Caenorhabditis elegans: one gene and its partners. The protein of the gene in region 3 purifies or fractionates together with the protein of the main gene of each other region. This does not show direct contact. Each region holds a gene or a part of one and is shown on either strand. Other genes may lie near its edges. The genes, in order: ergo-1, rsd-2 and rde-10.

What was found.
Region 1: the proteins of rde-10 (region 3) and ergo-1 purify together in Caenorhabditis elegans (affinity purification with mass spectrometry, with the first as the bait; 2 studies listed by BioGRID). This does not show direct contact.
Region 2: the proteins of rde-10 (region 3) and rsd-2 purify together in Caenorhabditis elegans (affinity purification with mass spectrometry, with the first as the bait; 2 studies listed by BioGRID). This does not show direct contact.

What each region holds. Positions count from the first base shown.
Region 1 is NC_003283.11:1,006,571-1,012,140, forward strand, and holds the start of ergo-1 (Piwi-like protein ergo-1), read left to right. Parts: upstream 1-2,232; 5' UTR 2,233-2,242; coding exon 2,243-3,183; intron 3,184-4,024; coding exon 4,025-4,209; intron 4,210-5,549; coding exon 5,550-5,570. UniProt on the Caenorhabditis elegans protein: Argonaute protein required for gene silencing in the endogenous RNA interference (RNAi) pathway.
Region 2 is NC_003282.8:13,537,147-13,542,482, forward strand, and holds the start of rsd-2 (RSD-2 domain-containing protein), read right to left. Parts: upstream 3,120-5,336; coding exon 3,001-3,119; intron 2,513-3,000; coding exon 2,216-2,512; intron 2,169-2,215; coding exon 2,031-2,168; intron 1,529-2,030; coding exon 1,394-1,528; intron 537-1,393; coding exon 404-536; intron 349-403; coding exon 206-348; intron 1-205.
Region 3 is NC_003279.8:3,545,483-3,553,236, reverse strand, and holds rde-10 (RNA interference defective protein 10), read right to left. Parts: upstream 6,167-7,754; 5' UTR 6,110-6,166; coding exon 6,072-6,109; intron 6,026-6,071; coding exon 5,888-6,025; intron 5,829-5,887; coding exon 5,753-5,828; intron 5,699-5,752; coding exon 5,624-5,698; intron 4,856-5,623; coding exon 4,372-4,855; intron 3,638-4,371; coding exon 3,214-3,637; intron 3,169-3,213; coding exon 3,058-3,168; intron 2,089-3,057; coding exon 1,889-2,088; intron 1,817-1,888; coding exon 1,636-1,816; intron 1,593-1,635; coding exon 1,458-1,592; intron 1,410-1,457; coding exon 1,388-1,409; 3' UTR 1,234-1,387; downstream 1-1,233. Other genes in the region: Y47G6A.21 (DeHydrogenases, Short chain), read left to right, coding at 1,075-1,233; Poly(U)-binding-splicing factor rnp-6, read left to right, coding at 6,343-6,438, 6,496-6,660, 6,715-6,873, 7,260-7,462. UniProt on the Caenorhabditis elegans protein: In complex with rde-11, required in the endogenous and exogenous siRNA pathway for biogenesis and accumulation of secondary small interfering RNA (siRNA) intermediates, such as 22G-siRNAs derived from ergo-1 targets.

The DNA of each region.
Region 1 (5,570 bases), on a different chromosome or scaffold from region 3:
CCTTTACGAGGAATTTCTTCCAAAACCTTCGAAACCTAGATAGAGAGAAATTCTATACTTCGAGATTCAATATCTTGATTCGAAGGTTACATTTCCCGCGCAATTGAGGCAATACATCGATCTTCGTCTCAAACACTTTTCGCTCAGATTTTGCCAAGACTTTGCTTTTTTAGACCAAAAATGGTAAAAAACTACCAAATTTCGTAATGAGACGTTCTGAAAATGTTTCAAAAAAAGTTATGGCCGCTCAAAGTTTTGGGAAAAATGGTCAATTTATAGCTAAAATCTCAAATTTTGGCAACTTATCGGTGTCGCAGCGGCTGGAACTTGAATTTTATTAGATTGTCATCCTTTAATGTACGTTTTCTCAATTTATTAGGCGTTATTTCGTTAATTGAGATGTTTTTTTGGTCGATGCGGGCACAAACTTGTATCGTATTTGTGCCCGCATCGACCGAAAAAGCATTTCAATCAACGAAATAACACCTAATAAATTACGAAAACGTGTATTAAAAGATGATAATTAAGTAAAAATTAAGTTCCAACCGCTGCGATACGGAAAAGCTGCCAAAATTTGAGATTTTAGTAGAAATAGCCCATTTTTTCCAAAACTTTGAGCGGCTATAACTATTTTTTTTGAAAATTTTCAGAATGTCTCCTTACGAAATTTGGTAGTTTTGGAACATTTTGGGTCTAAAAAGGAAAAGTTTCAAATTTCGGTACTCCACCTTTAAAGTGACCAGGTTGCGGCGTATCTGTACTCCATTTCAAGCACATTTGCACACGTGTGTACACGTGATGTCATAGTGTCTCATTTCGGCTTGATCTACGTAGATCTACAAAGAAGAAGATCTACAAGAATCAGCGATTCGCTCGAACACTGCCCACTCCGTCTGATTGGTTTAAAAGTGGGCATAGCGAATCGTTGATTGGTAAGGTTTTTTTTTTTGAATTGAAAAAAAGCAAATATAGGCAAAATTTTCAATCCTACTAGTTGTATTTCATGCTTCTTTCGTAGTTTTTTGTTGGAATTGGAGACGATTTCGGATTTTTTAAAAAGCAAAATCTTCATTCACACTACTCCTCATTTATGCAAGTTAGGTATTCCACTCTCATAAACTCATCAGATGCTCTTTTTCTCTTAATTCTCAACCCATTAAAGGAGGACTAACGGTTCGGACGATTTTGAACGTATGGACCCAAAATGGGCTCAAATGAACGAATTTCGTAATGAAACTGCACAAAAATTTTTCAAAAATTTTTTATGGCGGTTCAAAATTTTGGAAAAAATTACGCTGATTTTGGCTAAAATCACGAATTTTTCCCATTTTTCCGTGTCACATCTGTTCGAAAGTGGATTTTTTGGAATTATCTTCCTTTATTACATATATTGGTAATTAATCTCATTTGATTTCGTCGATTAAGGTACATTTAAAGCCGATAGGTAACCAAAAATCATCGAAATTGATTACCTATCGGCTTTAAATGTACCTTAACCAACGAAATTAAATGAGATAAACTACCAATATATGCAAGAAAGGATGATAATTCCGAAAAAGTCAACTTCGGACCGATGTGACACGGAAAAATAGGCAAAATTCGAGATTTTAGCTATAATCAGTGTAATTTTTTTCGAAATTTTAAACCGCCATAAAAAATTTTTGAGAATTTTTTTGAGAAGTTTCATTACGAAATTCGTTAATTTGAGCTCATTTTGGGTCTATATCAGGGGTGAGCGGCAATCGGCGATCGGCGATTTTCGTGATTTTTCGGCGATCGCCGATGAAATTTTATAGTCCACGATAGACCCCTCTGAAGAAGGAAAAAGGTATATTTTCGGACTATTTTTCACTACTTTTCGAATTTTAAGGTATCAAGGAGTGCTTTTCGTTGCCTAATATTCCTGTTTTTATGAAAAATTATTTGAAAGAGCTCTTAAAATTAAGATTTTAAAATTGAAAAAAATTAGACGCACACTGATCGGCAATCGGCGATCGCCGATTTTTTTTTGGCAATTTGTGATCGCCGATCGCCGAAAAAAAAAAGTTTCGGCGAACGCCGATCGCCGATCGCCGATTTTTTTGGGCGGCTGCTCAGCCCTGGTCTATACGTTGAAAATTGTCCGAACCGTTAGTCCTCCTTTCAAGCAAAAAATTTTTTTTGACTCTACTCCACCTTTAAGATGCTCTTTTTCTCTCAATTATCGGCCCACTAATCTCTTCTCACTTCCAGACTAACAAAAATGAGCTATAACAACGGCGGCGGCGGCGGTGGTGGTGGCTATCGAAACGATCGTGACGATCGCTACCATAACAACGATCGGCAAAATTACCGCAGCAGTGACCAAGGTCGCTCCGGATACAACGACGATCGTCGGGACAATCGCTACGATGATCGTCGCGGCTCCAACAACGATCGTGGCTGCTACGATCAACATGATCGTCGTGGATCCTCCAACGATGATCGTAGAGGTTATCGTGGATACAACCAGGGTGGTGGAGGATATCAACAGCAATACAGTCAGGATGCCAGATATGGATCCAATCAGAGAAATGACAATTATGGAAATAATCGTGGAAGTCACGGCGGCGCGAACATGTACAGCCAAAACGGTGGAAACCGCGGAGGAGGAGGAGGACGTGTCGGTGGTGGCCGAACCGCTGCCGGTATGTCGAATCCTGGAGATCTCGTCGGAGGTGCCGACCAGCCGATCCATTCAGTTTCGAAAAAGTCGCTCAGACACAACGCCCAGGAGTTTGCAGTCCGGCCGAAAACAATGGTCCAGGATAAGGGTCTCGGCCAGAAGACGACACTTTTGACGAATCACACGTTGGTGCAACTCCCGCAGGAGCCCATCACGCTTCACGTCTTCAATATTGAAGTATTTATTAATGGAAAGTCTAGCAATAAGCGAGAACTTTGTGGGCCACGATTTTGGGAAATTTTGAAGGAGAATAAGCCCACTTTTGGCATGCCAAATCAGTACATCTTCAATGATGTGAATATGATGTGGTCGACGAATAAGCTGAGACAATCCGAGGGAAGAACTAATAACCGGAGAATGAATTTCGTTTGGAAATATGTGAAACAAATCAAGTTTGGAGGAAATATTGAGGATGAGGAGACCATGCAGCTTTTGTCAACACTTATTGATGCGATTGCAACGCAGAGAGCTCGCTTGCCGTTAGTTTTTGCCGATTTTCCATAGATTTTCAATTCCGGCCATTGGCCGATTTGCCGGAAATTTTCAATTACGGCAATTTGCCCTTTTTCCAGAAAATTTTCATTTTTGGCAATTTGCCCTTTTTCCGAAAATTTTAATTCCGGCAAATTGCAGATTTGGCGGATTTTTTTATTTTCGGCAAATTGCTACTTTTCCGGAAATTTTCAATTCTGGCAAATTGCTGATTTGACGGAAATTCCGGCAAGTTGCCGATTTTTCCGGAAATTTTCAATTCCGGTATTTTGCCGATTTGCCGGAAATTTCCATTCCGGTATTTTGCCGATTTGCCGGAAATTTTCAATTCCGGCAATTGGCCGTTTTTCCGGAAAATTTTCAATTCCAGCAAATTGTCAATTTGCCGGAAATTTCAATTCCGGTTTTTGCCAATTTTCCGGAAATTTTCAATTCCGGCAATTTGCCGATTTTTCCGGAAATTTTCAATTCTGGCAAATTGTCAATTTTCCGGAAATTTCAATTCCGGTATTTTGCCGATTTGCCGGGAATTTCAGTTCCGGTATTTTGCCGATGATCCGGAAATTTTCAATTCCAGCAAATTGCCGATTTGCCGAGAAAGAGAATGTCCGGGAAACCGGCAATTTGTCGAAAATGAAAATTTCCGGCATATCGGAAAATTGCCGGAATCGAAAATTTTCGGCAAATCGGAAAATTGCCGGAATCGAAAATTTCCGGCAAATCGGCAATTGATTCTCAGTGCAACAAAAGGCTCACTTTATTAATAATCTGCTAGAGGAAAATTTCCAATTAAAACACTTTTTTCAATTTCAATTTCCAATATTTCAGACTTGCCCCACCAAAGTACACTGTGTTCAAAAGATTAACATATCTAATTTGCGAAGAAGCGTACGAACCCGAGCTTCCGGATGTGTCACTGTGTCATAAACTGAGAATTGGTACAGACGCGAGAGTTGGAGTTTCGATTGCTATTCGCACAAATCTGAGAGCCGGAATCACTGCATGCTTTGATCGTGAGTTTTTTGCAGAGATTTCTTGACAATTTTCAGCCGACGACATCCCCGAATTAAACCCCTATTTCATTTGAAAGAGGATCTTCGAATTAGGTTCCTACAAAAATTTTAGCCACAAAGAAGAATTTTGAACTGGCAAACAGTCGATTTGAATTTTTTTTTCATTTAATTTTTTGCAACTTTATTTCACTAGGCTTGAAAAATTGCTCCAAATGTGGATTTTTGCAGGCTTTTAGCGATTTCAAGACTCCATAGAGGCAAAAAAAACACTGGAAACTTTGAAAAAAACATTAGTATTTGAAAAAGCTTGCAAAGTGATTTTGCCTACCCCAATACATCCTTAAAATCGCCAAAAGTCTGCAAAAAACCCAGATTTGTAGTAATTTTACAAGCTATGTGCTCCTCTGCTTTTAAAATTATTATATGAACACAAAATTCTGAGAATGCGTATTGCGCAAAATATCTCGGAGCGAAAACTACAGTAATCCTTTAAATTACTACTGTAGCGCTTGTGTCGATTTATGGGCTCGATTTTTTGAAATTAATTTATTTTTGAATTGTGACAGCGACATTTGCTTAATTTTAATACAGTGCATTTTTCCCCACTTTTACGACTTTAAAGGCGCGCGCATTTTCGCGCAATGGTCTCGCCACGTGCATCCCATTGATTTGTTGAGCGCGTGGCGAGATCAATGCCGGGACCATTTTGCATAAATGCGCGCGCCTTTAAAGTCGTACAAGTGGGAAAAAAATGCACTGTATGCATTCTATCAATAAATAAAAAATGTTATTACCTTCGTAAATCGAGCCCGTAAATCGACATAAGCGCTACAGTAGTAATTTAAAGGATCAATGTAGTTTTCGCTGCGAGATATTTTGCGCGTCAAATATGTTGTGTAATATGCATTCTCAGAATTTTTATGTTCCCGTAATATTGTAGCCACCTAATTGTGAAGGCCCCCCACGTTCGAAAAGCATAGGTTTTATTCGGATGTCTAGAACAAGGATGTGCGGCAAATTTCAAAAAAAAGTGGACTTGCCGAATTGCCGCAAAATTAAAAATTTTTTTTTTTTAATTTTCCCAAAACTAAAGGTTTTGATCAGAATCTTAATGAAAGAAAAATTAACCATTTTAACACTTTTTGAGCTCCAAAAAGTATTGCGATTTACCGAGTATGACGACAATGGGAAATTTGCCGAATTTGCCGAGTTGGCCATGCTCGGCAAATTTCAAAATTTGCCGCACGCCACTTGGGCTAGAAATGAGCTAAAAATTGCTGTGTTATAACAGAATTTTCACCGAATTTTCACCAAAATCGCTCAATTCCTCACTTTTTCAGTTGGTCACACACTGTTCACAC
Region 2 (5,336 bases), on a different chromosome or scaffold from region 3:
GCCAAACAGTGGAGAAATTGGGTGAAAATTAATTTTCGATAGCTACAATTTAGAAAAAGTTGGCAAAATTCTAGATTTTAATTAGAATTTATCCCTATTTCGAGTAAGAATGCGAATTTAAGTTTTTTTGTGAGGGTGATTTTCAGCCAAATTTAGCCGTTTTTTCAGGAGATTTCGCTCCACCAATTTCGATAAAAATACACACATTGCCAACTCCACTCTATACGTGACACCTCGTTCCATCGATTCTGCTGCAACATTAACTTTTCCAAATGTATCAGCAAATGCAACACTCTGAGGATAAGTAATGTGAGTTTCAATCGATGAACATGCCGCTTTTGCAGAGATCTGAAAATATACCATTTTATATTGCTGAATATCGAAAAAAAAGAAGAAAGCTAACCAATAATTCGCCATTTTCAATTCTCGTCATCTCACATTCTCTGTATTCTATAGCATCCGGCCGGGGATCAGGGAAATATGTATCATTTTCGTAGTTGTACTCGGTGAAAAGTATGAGTTGACCGGCTTTTGCTCTGAAAATTTGGAAATTAAAACTGAGGAACAGTTCAAAACGGTATTTTGAGTGGTAAAAACCTAAAATTCGAGGTTTTCGTGTGAAAATTCGAGAAAAATCATGGGAAATTTGATAATTTTGCTCGAAAATGCTATTTTTTACATCAAATAACGCAAAAATTGGATTTCCTGGACTAAATAAACGAAAAATTCCGATTTTTCTGAAATACGCTCGAAAAATTGCTCTTTTCCAATTTAAAACATTTTTTCTGAGATCTTTTACAAAAAAATCCCGTTTTCAGCAATTTCTCACCTAAAAACTTGATTTTTTTGACGGAAAATTTAGAAATAGCCGAATATTTGAATTTAAAACCTATTTTTCTGTGAAAAAGTCTTAAAAAGCGCAAATTTCACAGAAAAATGCTTTAAAATTGGAGAAAGCTCACGAACAGCTCAAAACCACTTTTTAAGTGGTAAAAAAGAAAAAACCCCGGAAAAATCGGCGGAAACTGAGTAATTTTGCTCGAAATTGTAATTTTTAACTGAAAATCCCGATTTTTCAGTAAAAATTGCTCGTTTTCAATTTAAAACGCTCTTTTTCCGAGATTTTTCCCTTGAGACTCAAATTTTCCCGATTTCTCATGAAAAAACTTGATTTTTTAGGGAAAATTAAGAGATAGCAGAATATTTAAATTCAAAACCATTTTCTCTGTGAAAACGTCATATAAAAAACGCAAACTTCACAGAAAAATGCTTCAAAATTGGCAATTTTGGCAAAATTTCGCCAAAAAACCCCGGATATTCGAGTTTTCCAGTTTTTTACTGTAAAAAATGATTTAAAACACGATTTTTCGATTAGAAATACATAAAATCTTACGGAGAGCCGACTGGAAGATGAACTTTTATTGAAGATTCCAATTGTTCAGAATAACAGATCGCAGAATTTGTCTCCTCGTTGTCAAATAGAATAATTGCGATCACTTGTGAATCGCTCATCTTTTTCGGTGATAACCTGTTAATTTCCATATTTTAAAGCGAATCTTGAGGCACTTTTCGCGAGAAAAACTGAAGTTTATGTGTGTGTGTGAAGGGGATGCGCGTGGAAAATTCAAGGCTGTGGTCGTCTGCGTCTCGAAAAAAAGAAAAATATAAATATTTTAACTCTAAATACGAAATATTCCGCTTTTTGCGCCGAAAAACGCCTTCAAAACCAAATTTTTTTGAAAATACTCGATTTTTCATCAAATTTGACGAGTTTAGGATGGTAAAATCAGTAATATACAGCATTTTTTGTTGAAAAATCAGATTTCTCATTTGAAAAATGCGTTTAAAATATTAAAAAAACATCTTTCAAGATGAGAACAATCTGAAAAGGCAAAAAAAACAAAAACAAATCATCGTGTGCAAACACTGTGACGCAAAGTCACGGACAACTACTGTAGCCCACATGAAATTTTTATTAACATTTTCAGGTCTAGAATTCAGATAAATTCACGAAAGTCTATCAAAATTACCTTAATTCTTCAAGTCTGTTTTGCTCGAAAATTTCCAGTTTCATCATGGTGTCAGATGTGTCTTTGTTTGCCAAAAATTTGAGTCGCCCGGTCACTTTGAAAAGTGGATTTCCGCTTTCTTGGTAGTTTAGGTCATTTCTGCAATTAATGATCGACTTTTTGGATGATAACCCCTGAAAACGTACACATAAATGAACGCTTTATAAACTCCTGGTCCGGTAGGTGGAGAATCCGAACAATCAACGATTCCATACCAATCCGCGTACCCCAGATCTCTGTTATAGGTGAGATAGTTCGGATTGTCACCGAAAGCTATCCAGCTCTTGTAATATACGACCTGTTCATTTGTATGAGTGGGTAGGATTACACAATCTGCCGGTTCAGGTTCTTTGATGGTTGAGGTGCTGGCATCAATTTTCATTACCCCATCTTCTGTCATCACCTCATTTTCGATGAAGGTCAGGAAAAAACCTGGCCGGGGCCTGAAAAATGATAAAAGTGCACGGCCATGTGTCGATTTACGCTGTATGTGTACTCCTCGTGGAGAACTGTTAATTTTTGCAGTAAAATTCTTGATTGTAGATCATTTCCGATAAATTGTTTTAAATTTCAGATTTAAATTGCTGATTAATATTTTATTTATCTTTTTTTTTCAATTTAAAGTGTAAGAAAAACGCGAAAAAATGGAGTACACAACGGTTCATCAATAGAGCGCGTTTAACAACCTAAAATAATTAAAATTTAAATTTTTCCCAGAAGTGGGCAACAACTTGCCTACGTTTACGAAATAAATTAATAATTTTAAAAAGTGTTTAATTTAAAAAAAATTCAAACTCGACAATTTCCACTCAAAATCTGTAAAACCTTCTCCTCGAGGAGAACACTCGCTGCGTAAATCGACACATGGCCGTGTTAGAGTTTTTTCACGGCCATTCTTCTATCTCCACTCATAAAGGTGTGTTCAACTTACTCCAATTGTTGCTGCCCTTCGATGCGAGCCCAAAAGAACTCGTGGCTCTCCCTTTTAAAACAGCCAAAGACGTCATTTTCTTGATCATGGTGCAGGATGAGTACTCGGCAGGAGGACATTATGCTGAGATATTACAAAAAATTTGAAAAAATAGCGTTAGAATGACGGGGGGACGAGAGATTCAAGCAAGTGGTGTCAGACTGTCTCGTTACAGTTTCATCTACAAAAAATGTGGGAATATTTTTCCAGAAAAGTTGTGACGTCAGCACGTTCTCATCCATGCGAAATCAGATGAGACGTCTGCGTCTCACCTCCCGCATTTTTTGAAGATCAAACCGAAATAAGACATTCTGACTGTGTGCAAAGAAAAAACAAAAAAAAACAAAAAAAAAAGATCAAAGTGTGAGAAACAGGTTACCGGCGAGAAAAACAAATTTTTAGAAATAAAAAACAACACAATTTTTGAACCCGAAACCTTCCACAAAATGCCTGCCTACATGCCTACTGGTAAACTAAAAGAAACACCGGAAATCAGGCAAAAGTGTAACCACGTATGCAAGCAGGCGTGAGGTATGGGATATTTTTGTATTTTTCTTTTTTGCGTAAGGTGAGTAGGCAGGCAGGTAGGCGTACCGGTAGGCGTGAGGTAGGCACGTAGACCTACATTCAGGCATGGTGTAGGCATCAGAACTTGCCTGTCTACCATAGAACAACCTATAAATTAGAAAAAAAAATAGGTCGCGTAGAATGTTTTTTTTTTCAAATTTTCGTAATACCTCAGACACCTGTCCAGTTATGAAAGATTATTATCTGATCTAAATATTAATTTTTGAGGCGTTAAGAAGTGCCAAACTTTCTACGAAAAAACGAAAAAAAAACCAAAAAAAAAAGCAACTTTCAAATCGAATAAAAGAGAGAGAAAAGAGAGAGAATAGAGAAATAGACAACTGGTCGTTTGCTCTGTTGTCATGATTTACGACAGATGACCTTAGGCCTGAACCTGATAATGTAATTTTTTATTGCGCTCGTTACAAGTTACCGAGCACTAAAATGGCAAAAACACCATAAATACAAAAAAATAAAGAAATCCAATACATTTTTTTTGAAATACTAATCTTATATCACACTAGGCTAATTGATCGGTTCCTCTACGATAGACACATTCTCATACCTACGTAGCCACACCACGCCTGCCTACAGTTTGTACCATGTTTTTTATAGCTTGACAGTAGGCATGTAGGCATGAAGTAGGCAGGAATTTTCTTGCCTACTTGGAAGGCTTGTTGCCACAAGTTCTGATTGAAGAAGTTACTGTAGCCAAAAAAGAGTTTTTTTTAAATCTATCTATAACTTTTAACATGAACAAACATAAATCGGCAATTTTAATTTTGAAAAAAATCGTCCAAAAACTCTTAAATCTTTAGAATTTTAAATCAACAGCTAAACGAGGGTTTTCCGGTCATTCTTCCATTATCAAAGAGAGTTTGGAATCCTATTAAAGTTACTTCTATAGGTTACAGCCTATTTTCGGGAAAATTACCAAATTTAATATTCAGCTGAATATTCAGCAATATTCAGCTGAAATGAATTCAGCAAGTAGCAAAACCTAACTTTTTGGAAACGTTGGAAATCGAATGAAAATAGATAATATTCCAAAAAATGGAGACACGGAAAAGAAGAGGAAATGGAAATAATCACGGGCAGGAAATGAATAATGCTGCAAGTCAAAAGACGGTGAGAGACGCAGAGAAATAGGTGTCCTCCCAGGAGGAGGAGGAGTTTGATATGTAATTTTTTAGGCCAAGCAATAAGAGGGGTATAGTGCAATGTTTTTCCAGTTGCTCACGGTACCTTCAAGCTGTGACCGCACGTGGTGTTAGAGTGTCTCACTTCGGCTTGATCTACGTAGATCTAAAAAAATGCGGGTGAAGAGACGCAGAGTTCTCAACTGATTTCGCAACAGCCTGACACCAAACGACGGGCAAACTGTTTTTGTTTTTTCACAAGTTTAAGCTAAAAATAAAAGTAATCTATATTCGAAACGACAAGAAACCCGGTAGATGTCGGTCCATGTTCTCACTTGTCACAAAATTCCCTAAAACTGTGGAATTTGTGCAACAGTTTTTTTCGTCAACTATAGTCTCGAAATTTTTGGAATTTTGAATTTTTTGGCTATTCCCGAATTTCAAAATTTTCGGCAATTAGGCAAAATAGTTCCCATAAACTCAGAAAAACCAGTTGTTTTGATTTTTCAATAGGGGAATTGAAAAATTATTATCGAATGCCAATTTAAAAATTAAAAAAAAAAAGAAATTCGTCAATTGCCGAATTTTCGA
Region 3 (7,754 bases):
TCACATTTTCCAACAATTCACTTTTAAAAATTCCGAGTCTATATAGGAGGCGAAAACCGAGTCTAAATAGAAGCAAAACGCACTTATATTTAGAAAAGAGTAGAACTATTTAGAAGAAGAAGGTATTTCTAATTAGAAGAAGTAGACATATTTAGAAGAAAAATGCGCTTATATTTAGAAAAGAGTAGACCTATTTAGAACAAAAAGGTACTTCTAATTAGAAGAAGTAGACCTATTTAGTTAAAAAGCTCTGCTATTTAGATGAAAAAGCATTTCTAATTATGTCGTGTTAGGAGCTAGCGCCATTTCTAAATATATCTGCTTTTTTCTTCTAAATAGAAGCGAAAACGTTTATCTGAGATGGAGACATTCTCAAGACATCGCGATATACGTTGTGTAACGATCAAGTAGCAGAACCAGGACATGATGAATGGTGTTGAAACGACTTCCGACTAATTGTAATTCTTGATATATTTGAGGCCCCTTAACTTTATCTGCATAGGTAAAATGAACATATTTTATAACGTAACATCATTAGATAACAGTAGATTTTAATGCAATTTCCTTGTAAGATGAACCATATTGTTCTCTTCTAACCTCATATCAGAATTTAAATTGAAGTTTTGGTTTTTCAGTAACTAGCATGTCTGCAAAACGTTTACAATTAAAGTATAGAACGAACAAAATTCACTTTTGTTTGAAAATATGTCTCAAAGCAATAATATGTTCGCAAGAAATTGATTAATACATCTTATGTAGACACTTTGGCAGTTTCAGAATACTCTTTTCACAATCCGAGCGCGCCTGTTCCGCACTCCAGTCACGCCCTATCCTCGCGCCAGGCGCATTTCACCTCTTTTCGCGCGCCAGTCGCACCCCCTTCGCGCCCCAGGAGGAGCCAACTACCGAGTAGCTCTTGTGTCGAAAACCGAGCCCGTAAATCGACACTACAGTAGTAATTTAAATAATGACTATAGTTTTGCGCTATGAGATATTTTGCGCGTCAAATATGTTGCGCAGTACGCAGTCTCAGCAGTTTGTGTTGGCGTAATAATACTTTCAACGAAATTCCAGTTCCTCGAGAAAAGCAAGACGACCCACGCACTCGGCCGTCCTGGAACTACATCCGAAGTAGCTGAAGCTATCCTATTCCTGTCCTCTGAGAAGAGCTCATTCACTACTGGACAACTGTTGAAGGTTGATGGTGGTCGAGGAATTATGCATCCGAGATAAAGAATATATGATTTATTGTTTTGAAAATTGAGAATGAAGTAAATTTGTACCAAGCAGACAGACAGAGTATATCATGTATAATACTATTAGTACAATTAGGATTTTAGAATGCTTATATTTAATACCATGAAATGAATGTGTGAGGGGTTTCCGTTTAGAAGTCGTCGAACTTGATTCTGAAATAATATAAAAACTATTAAAAATTTTTTATTATATACACTTACATCTTATATTTCTGTCCCGGTTTCACCGAATCCAGAATATTGAAATATTGATCCGCTTCGTTTCGATTCATGATATGACTGATTATTGGGGTTTCATAATCTTCAGATGGATCTTCGGATGGAAACGCGGAAAAACTGAAAATTAAAAAAAATTTATTTTCTTTAATTTACGACGAACCTTTTGCGTTCAGAATAAGCATTCGGACTATTTTGTGACGGGCGTGGAGCTCGCTGTGGCGACAATCGCCTTGGAGCCGGAACCACAACAGATTCTTGTTGAACATTTGGAGCAACATCTCTTGATCTTGCACTGGGATGCTCTGGCTCACGAACAGATGATGAGCTGATGAAGTGATCGTCTGAAATTAAAAATAAAAAAAAAATTAATTTTCAAACTTTCAAAATTCAGAATTTTCGAGAAAAATTCTTACTGTAAGAATAAGGAACATCAAGCTGTTCATTGTAGTTTTCCTCATCAGAATCTTCTTCGAAATCCAGTGGTTCAGATGCGAATTCGTATTGATCATGATTAGATGGACCTTCTTGATGGACGTCATATTGTTCATCGGTATCTCTCTGCCTGGCGGCGTAGACTTCGGCGTCATTACGGGATATTGTTCTTGCCAAGATTCTGGAAAAATATCTATAGACGCTCATTTAATTTTCGAAATTTCTGGGAACTGCAGAGAATGTTTTGTTTTTTCTGTGAATTTTAATTTTACTATTTTTGAAAAAAAAAACGAAAAATCGAAAAAATTTCGTAGTTCGATTTTTTGATTTTCCCTCAAAAACATCGAAAAATGGAAAAACATAAATTTTTTCGATTTTTGAAAAATCGACTTCTGGTCATTTTGGTATTTTTTCTTCTTTTTAGAATAAAATTTTATGTTTTTTCTCATCAATTTAGACCAAATTAAATTTTTAAAAAATCATAATTTATGGTTAATTTTTCTGGATTTAAAAAAAAAAGGTTTTTCGGAAAAAATTTAAAATCGAAAATTTTCTTTTTCGAAAACATTTCTTCTTTTTAGAATAAATTTTTATGTTTTTTCTCATGATTTTTTTTTTAAAAATCGAAAATCAAAAAAATTTTGATTTTTCTATTTTTGAAAAAAAAAACGAAAAATCAAAAATTTCTGTTTTCGATTTCCAATTTTTCGATTTTCCCTCAAAAATATCGAAAAATCGGAAAAATAAAAAAACGAAAATTTTAGAAAAAACCGACTTTTGGTCATTATGGTTTTTTTTCTTATTTTTAGAATACATTTTTTGTATGTTTTTTTCTCACCAATTTAGACGAAATTAGATTCAAAAAAATCATCTTTTATGGTTAATTTTCAGATTTTTTCTCCGATTTTCCGGATAATCGAAAAATCGAAAATTTTCGATTTTTTTTGAAATCGAGATATCGAAAATTTTTAGTTTTTTCGATTTGTCAAAAATTAGCTTATAATTTTTGGTATTTTCTTCTTTTTAGAATAAATTTTTATGTTTTTTTCTGATCAATTTAAACTTTTTTATGGTTAATTTTCTGAACTTATTTTTTACATTTTTGTATTTTCGGATAATCGAAAAATCGAAAATTTTCGTTTTTCCGTACGTTTGAGGCAAACTTGTGTCACTCCCGTCTTGAATGCAAATCTCATGAACTGGCGGCGAAATCACGAATCCTTGAAGCCGGTTCCCCTTTATTACAGTGAAAAAATTGTCTCTGTAAAATGTGTTTTATCTTGAAAATCACTGCAAAAAATGTTACAATAGTCTTGCATTATGAGCCTTGACGCAATTGTATTTCGTAGGCGATGGTTTATTCTCATGAAAACTGCAGAATAGGTTCAATTCAGTTCTGGGAATGAGAAAATGATATTGAAATTGATTACAAATATCAACATCTCTCCAGACACGGGGGACATCCGTCGGCGCTTTTTCGAGTATTACACTTGTAAAATCCTGAATGCTCAGAATACTAGGAATGATGACTTCTTGGAAGAATGTGATGGCATTGATTCCAGTGTAAGTGGCCAGAGTCTTGATTCCATAATATACAAAATTGAATTGAGCTCGATCGCATAGAATCGGAGATTTCGGATGCTGTTTTAAAAGGTGTTGAAGCCACTCGAAAACTTCATATGGTTCACAGCCATCGGCGGGTCCATTGGGCGAAATTCCCAGTTCGTCGGCTGAAAATTTTAAGCTACTGACCATTTATAGCATTTTTTTGGCAATTTTTCGGCAACATTCGATAAGTTTCGACAACTTTCGACACTATTGCAAAATTTTGACAATTTTTGAGAAGTTTCAAACAACTTTCCACAACTTTTCGAAAATTGTAGAAACTTTCGCCAACTTTCGGCAATTTATGACAACTTTCGGGAAATTTTACAAAGTTTTGGCAACATTCCCCAATTTCTCTTCAATTTTCAGCAAAATTTATAAATTTTGGCAATTTTTGTAAAGTTTCGCCAATTTTCGACAACTATTGCAAAATTTTGGCATTTTTTGAGGAGTTTCAAACAACTTTCCAAAATTTCTGGAAACTCTAGCCAACTTCTGCAAAGGTTTTGACAAAATTCGGTAAGTTTCGCCAATTTTCATTAATACTTTCGCTATTTTTGCAAAGTTTTAGCACCATTGTCCCATTCTCCAATTTTTAAAACAATTTTCAGCAACTTTTATAAATTTTTGCGAACTTTTTGAAAATATTCGGCAATTTTTGACAACTTTCAGTAACTTTCGTCAACTATTGCAAAATTCTGGTAATTTTAGCCAAATTTCGGCAATTTTTGTGAAGTTTTGCCAATTTTCATTTAATTTTCGGCAACTTTTGCTTATTATCGGCAATTTTTGCAAAGTTTTTGGCACCATTCTTCAATTTTTAAAACAATCTTCTGCAACTTTTCGAATTTTTTGCTACCCATTGCTTTTCTAGACAATTCCTCGTGCCCAATGTCATCTGCATCTGGATAAAACCAAGCTGCATCGAATTTGACGAATCTCGATTCATTCTGAATGATTCCATTCTTAAGATTGAATGTTGTAACGGATATCTCTGCAGGATACGATGAAAGCTTATTGATTGATGGTTTGAAGGCGTAGGCAACCGGAAATACTGAAACAATCTGCATTGTGTAGTCCTCGCAAAGCAACGGATTTCCAGGATCATCAGAACGCTGAGCAATGTATGAAGTCATTATTCGTTTCGCCTTTTTGCGATTTGCAAGACAAAACGCGTCGAGATCTTCGGTGATGTGAAGAACGTGATTTATATCTCTTGGCAACGCTATAACACTTGGAGTTTGGCTCAGTGTCTCCAAATGTGCACGTCGGAGCTGTTGGAACTCATCTGGATTTCGGTGGCGCATCTCACGGTTTCTCTGTGCTCTCTGGTGCTTTGTTTTCTGAAAAAAAAAACATAGTTTTTCTTTAAAGGTGGACTACGCTCAGTGGGGAAATTGCTTTAAAACACGCCTATGGTCCCACAATAACCGAATATCATGATTAAAAAATTCAAAAAAATTTTCTAGATTTTATATGATTTTTTGAAAATTGGAAAAATCACAGTTTTCACCTAATTATTTTTGAATTTCCGCCAATTGGATTTTTTCGGTGGAGCGTGCTTGCATTATTTTTTTTTATTAATTTTATTTATTTTCGTTATTTGACTGATTTTCTTCATTTTCTATGTTTTTTCTTCGGAAAATGAAAGAAATAAACAAGAAAATGCGAAATGTTTGTTAAAAATTAACTGAAAATGCGTAAAACTGTGATATTCTGAGTTCTGACGACGAAGAGCCTGAAATTAGAATATTTGACAGATTTAGGAAGTTTCAGTTAATTTTTAGTGATCATTCTTAATTTTTCTTGTTTATTTCTTTCATTTTCCGAAGAAAAAACATAGAAAATGAAGAAAATCAGTGAAATAACGAGAATAAATAAAATTAATTAATGAAAATAATGCAAGCACGCTCCACCGAACAAATCCAATTGGCGGAAATTCAAAAATAATTAGGTGAAAACTGTGATTTTTCCAATTTTCAAAAAATCATATAAAATCTAGAACATTTTTTTGAATTTTTTTATCATGATATTCGGTCATTGTGGGACCATAGGCGTGTTTTAAAGCAATTTCCCCACAGGGTGTAGTAAAATTTTCAATAAAAACCTACAATTACAAGCCCCCGATTTCCGTTGTGCTCGGCAACTTCTCGCTCGAATTTTTGCTTCAAATCAGGGCACATTCCCTGAAATCCGACATATTAGGCTTGAAAATAATAATTTTTCTTTATTTTTTTTACGTGATAATATCTTGTCATAATATCCTTGTCTGCCTGATCATTCTGATTGTATCGGTGGCCTTGCTCGGTCAGAAATCTAAACATCAAAATATCAAAAATCACATTTTCGCAAAATATATTCAGAAATTTTCCTACTTTTTCTGTCCTATCTGGCGTAGGAATAGCATGTAGACACTTTTCTTGCCGTCGACATGTTTTGCAACTGAAATCGGATTTCCGTTCTGGCGCACCGCATCTCCGGAGGTGCCGGCATTATTGGCTCGAATGCCCTCTCTGAAGAGATTTTTTAAAATTAATTGGGACAATATTTAAGGCAAACCTCTGATAATCTCTAAAATTAGATCTGTGATTTGACATATTCATAAAAATCAATTTTAGACGCTGGCAAAAGTCCGCAAAAGTCCTTGAAAATGTGCGCACCACTTGCAAAAATGCCGTGCCAGGGTTGCAATTATCGACTCCGCCCACTATTTCTTTTCGAATATTGAACGTGTTTTTTTCGGATTTTCAACACTTTTTTCTTATTATTTTTCGAAATTTGTGTTTTTTGTGTTTTTTAAATCATTTTTCATATTTTCAGACATTTTAAAATGGAAGAAAACTCGGCAGACATCGAAAACAGGCCGGTGGCGGCATTTCGGCCGGCAGTGTCAGTGCCAATGCCAGTTCTTCCGCAAGATGGAGAGGTAAATACTTTAGATTCGTTCAAATTAATGAAACTTTAAAACAAATTTTATTTTCAGGTGTTCGTAGGACCTGGAGGTAAGAAAGACGCTCAAAAAATTGGCCTTGGTTTATCGAAATTGAGTTCAAAGCGGAAGGATGATATTCAGATGGCGAAAAAGTATGCGATGGACATTTCAATTAAGCAGATTCTTCTTCGTCAGCAGAAACAGCAACAGGAGAATGTTAGTTTTATTTTTAAAAAGTAGAAATTATCGTAATAATCAATAAAATTTCAGCAACAACGGCAGCAAATGTACTCACAAGCTTTATCGATTATGTCCAGAATCTATGTTGGCTCAATCTCATTTGAAATCCGCGAAGATATGCTTCGCAGGGCTTTTGACCCATTTGGACCCATTAAATCTATTAATATGAGCTGGGATCCAGCTACTGGGGTGAGTTTTTAAAAAAGTCTTATTTTATTTTAAAATTCCGAAAGAATTAAGCTAATTTTATCTAAGGTCCTTTATTTTACCAGAAGTTTCCGTGTCAGAGCAGCTGGAAATTATTTTTCATTCGATTTTCATCTTTTATTGCAGATTTTGATAGTTTATCTCAATTTCTATCCAATTTTTGGTCATTTTTTGTCATCTATTGGCTTTAAATTTACTTAAATGAACAACTTAAATAAAAATATGCAATAAAAAAAATGATAATCGAATAAAAATTAATTTCCAAAAGCTGTGACACTTTTTTTTCAAATATTTGATGTTTTAAACGGAAGTTTTATTACGAATTGAGCATATTTTTAGTCTTAAATTAATAAATATTTCATTTTCAGCACCACAAAACGTTCGCATTTGTTGAATACGAAGTCCCAGAAGCCGCACTTCTTGCTCAAGAATCGATGAATGGTCAGATGCTCGGTGGACGTAATCTTAAAGTTAATTCGATGATGTTCCAGGAGATGAGATTGCCACAAAATATGCCACAGGCTCAGCCGATTATTGATATGGTTCAGAAGGATGCGAAGAAATATTTCAGGTAAAATGAGAAATTACTAGTTTAATTATTTTATTTAAAGTCATTTAAAAAATTTGGTGCTTTAAATGACAGAAAAAAGTAGAGACCGAATATAACTGGTTAAAAAAGTTTCTAAATTTTTTATTATTTTTTCAATTTTCAAAAATCAAAGAAACGTCCGAATTAAATTTGAATTCCCGCGCAAAGTTATTTTCGATATTTTGGCGTTTTCGGGCTAAAAACATCGGTTTACTTGGTTTGTCAGTTTTTCAGATTTTTCAGACACTTATCCGTGAATAAAATTCGATTACCC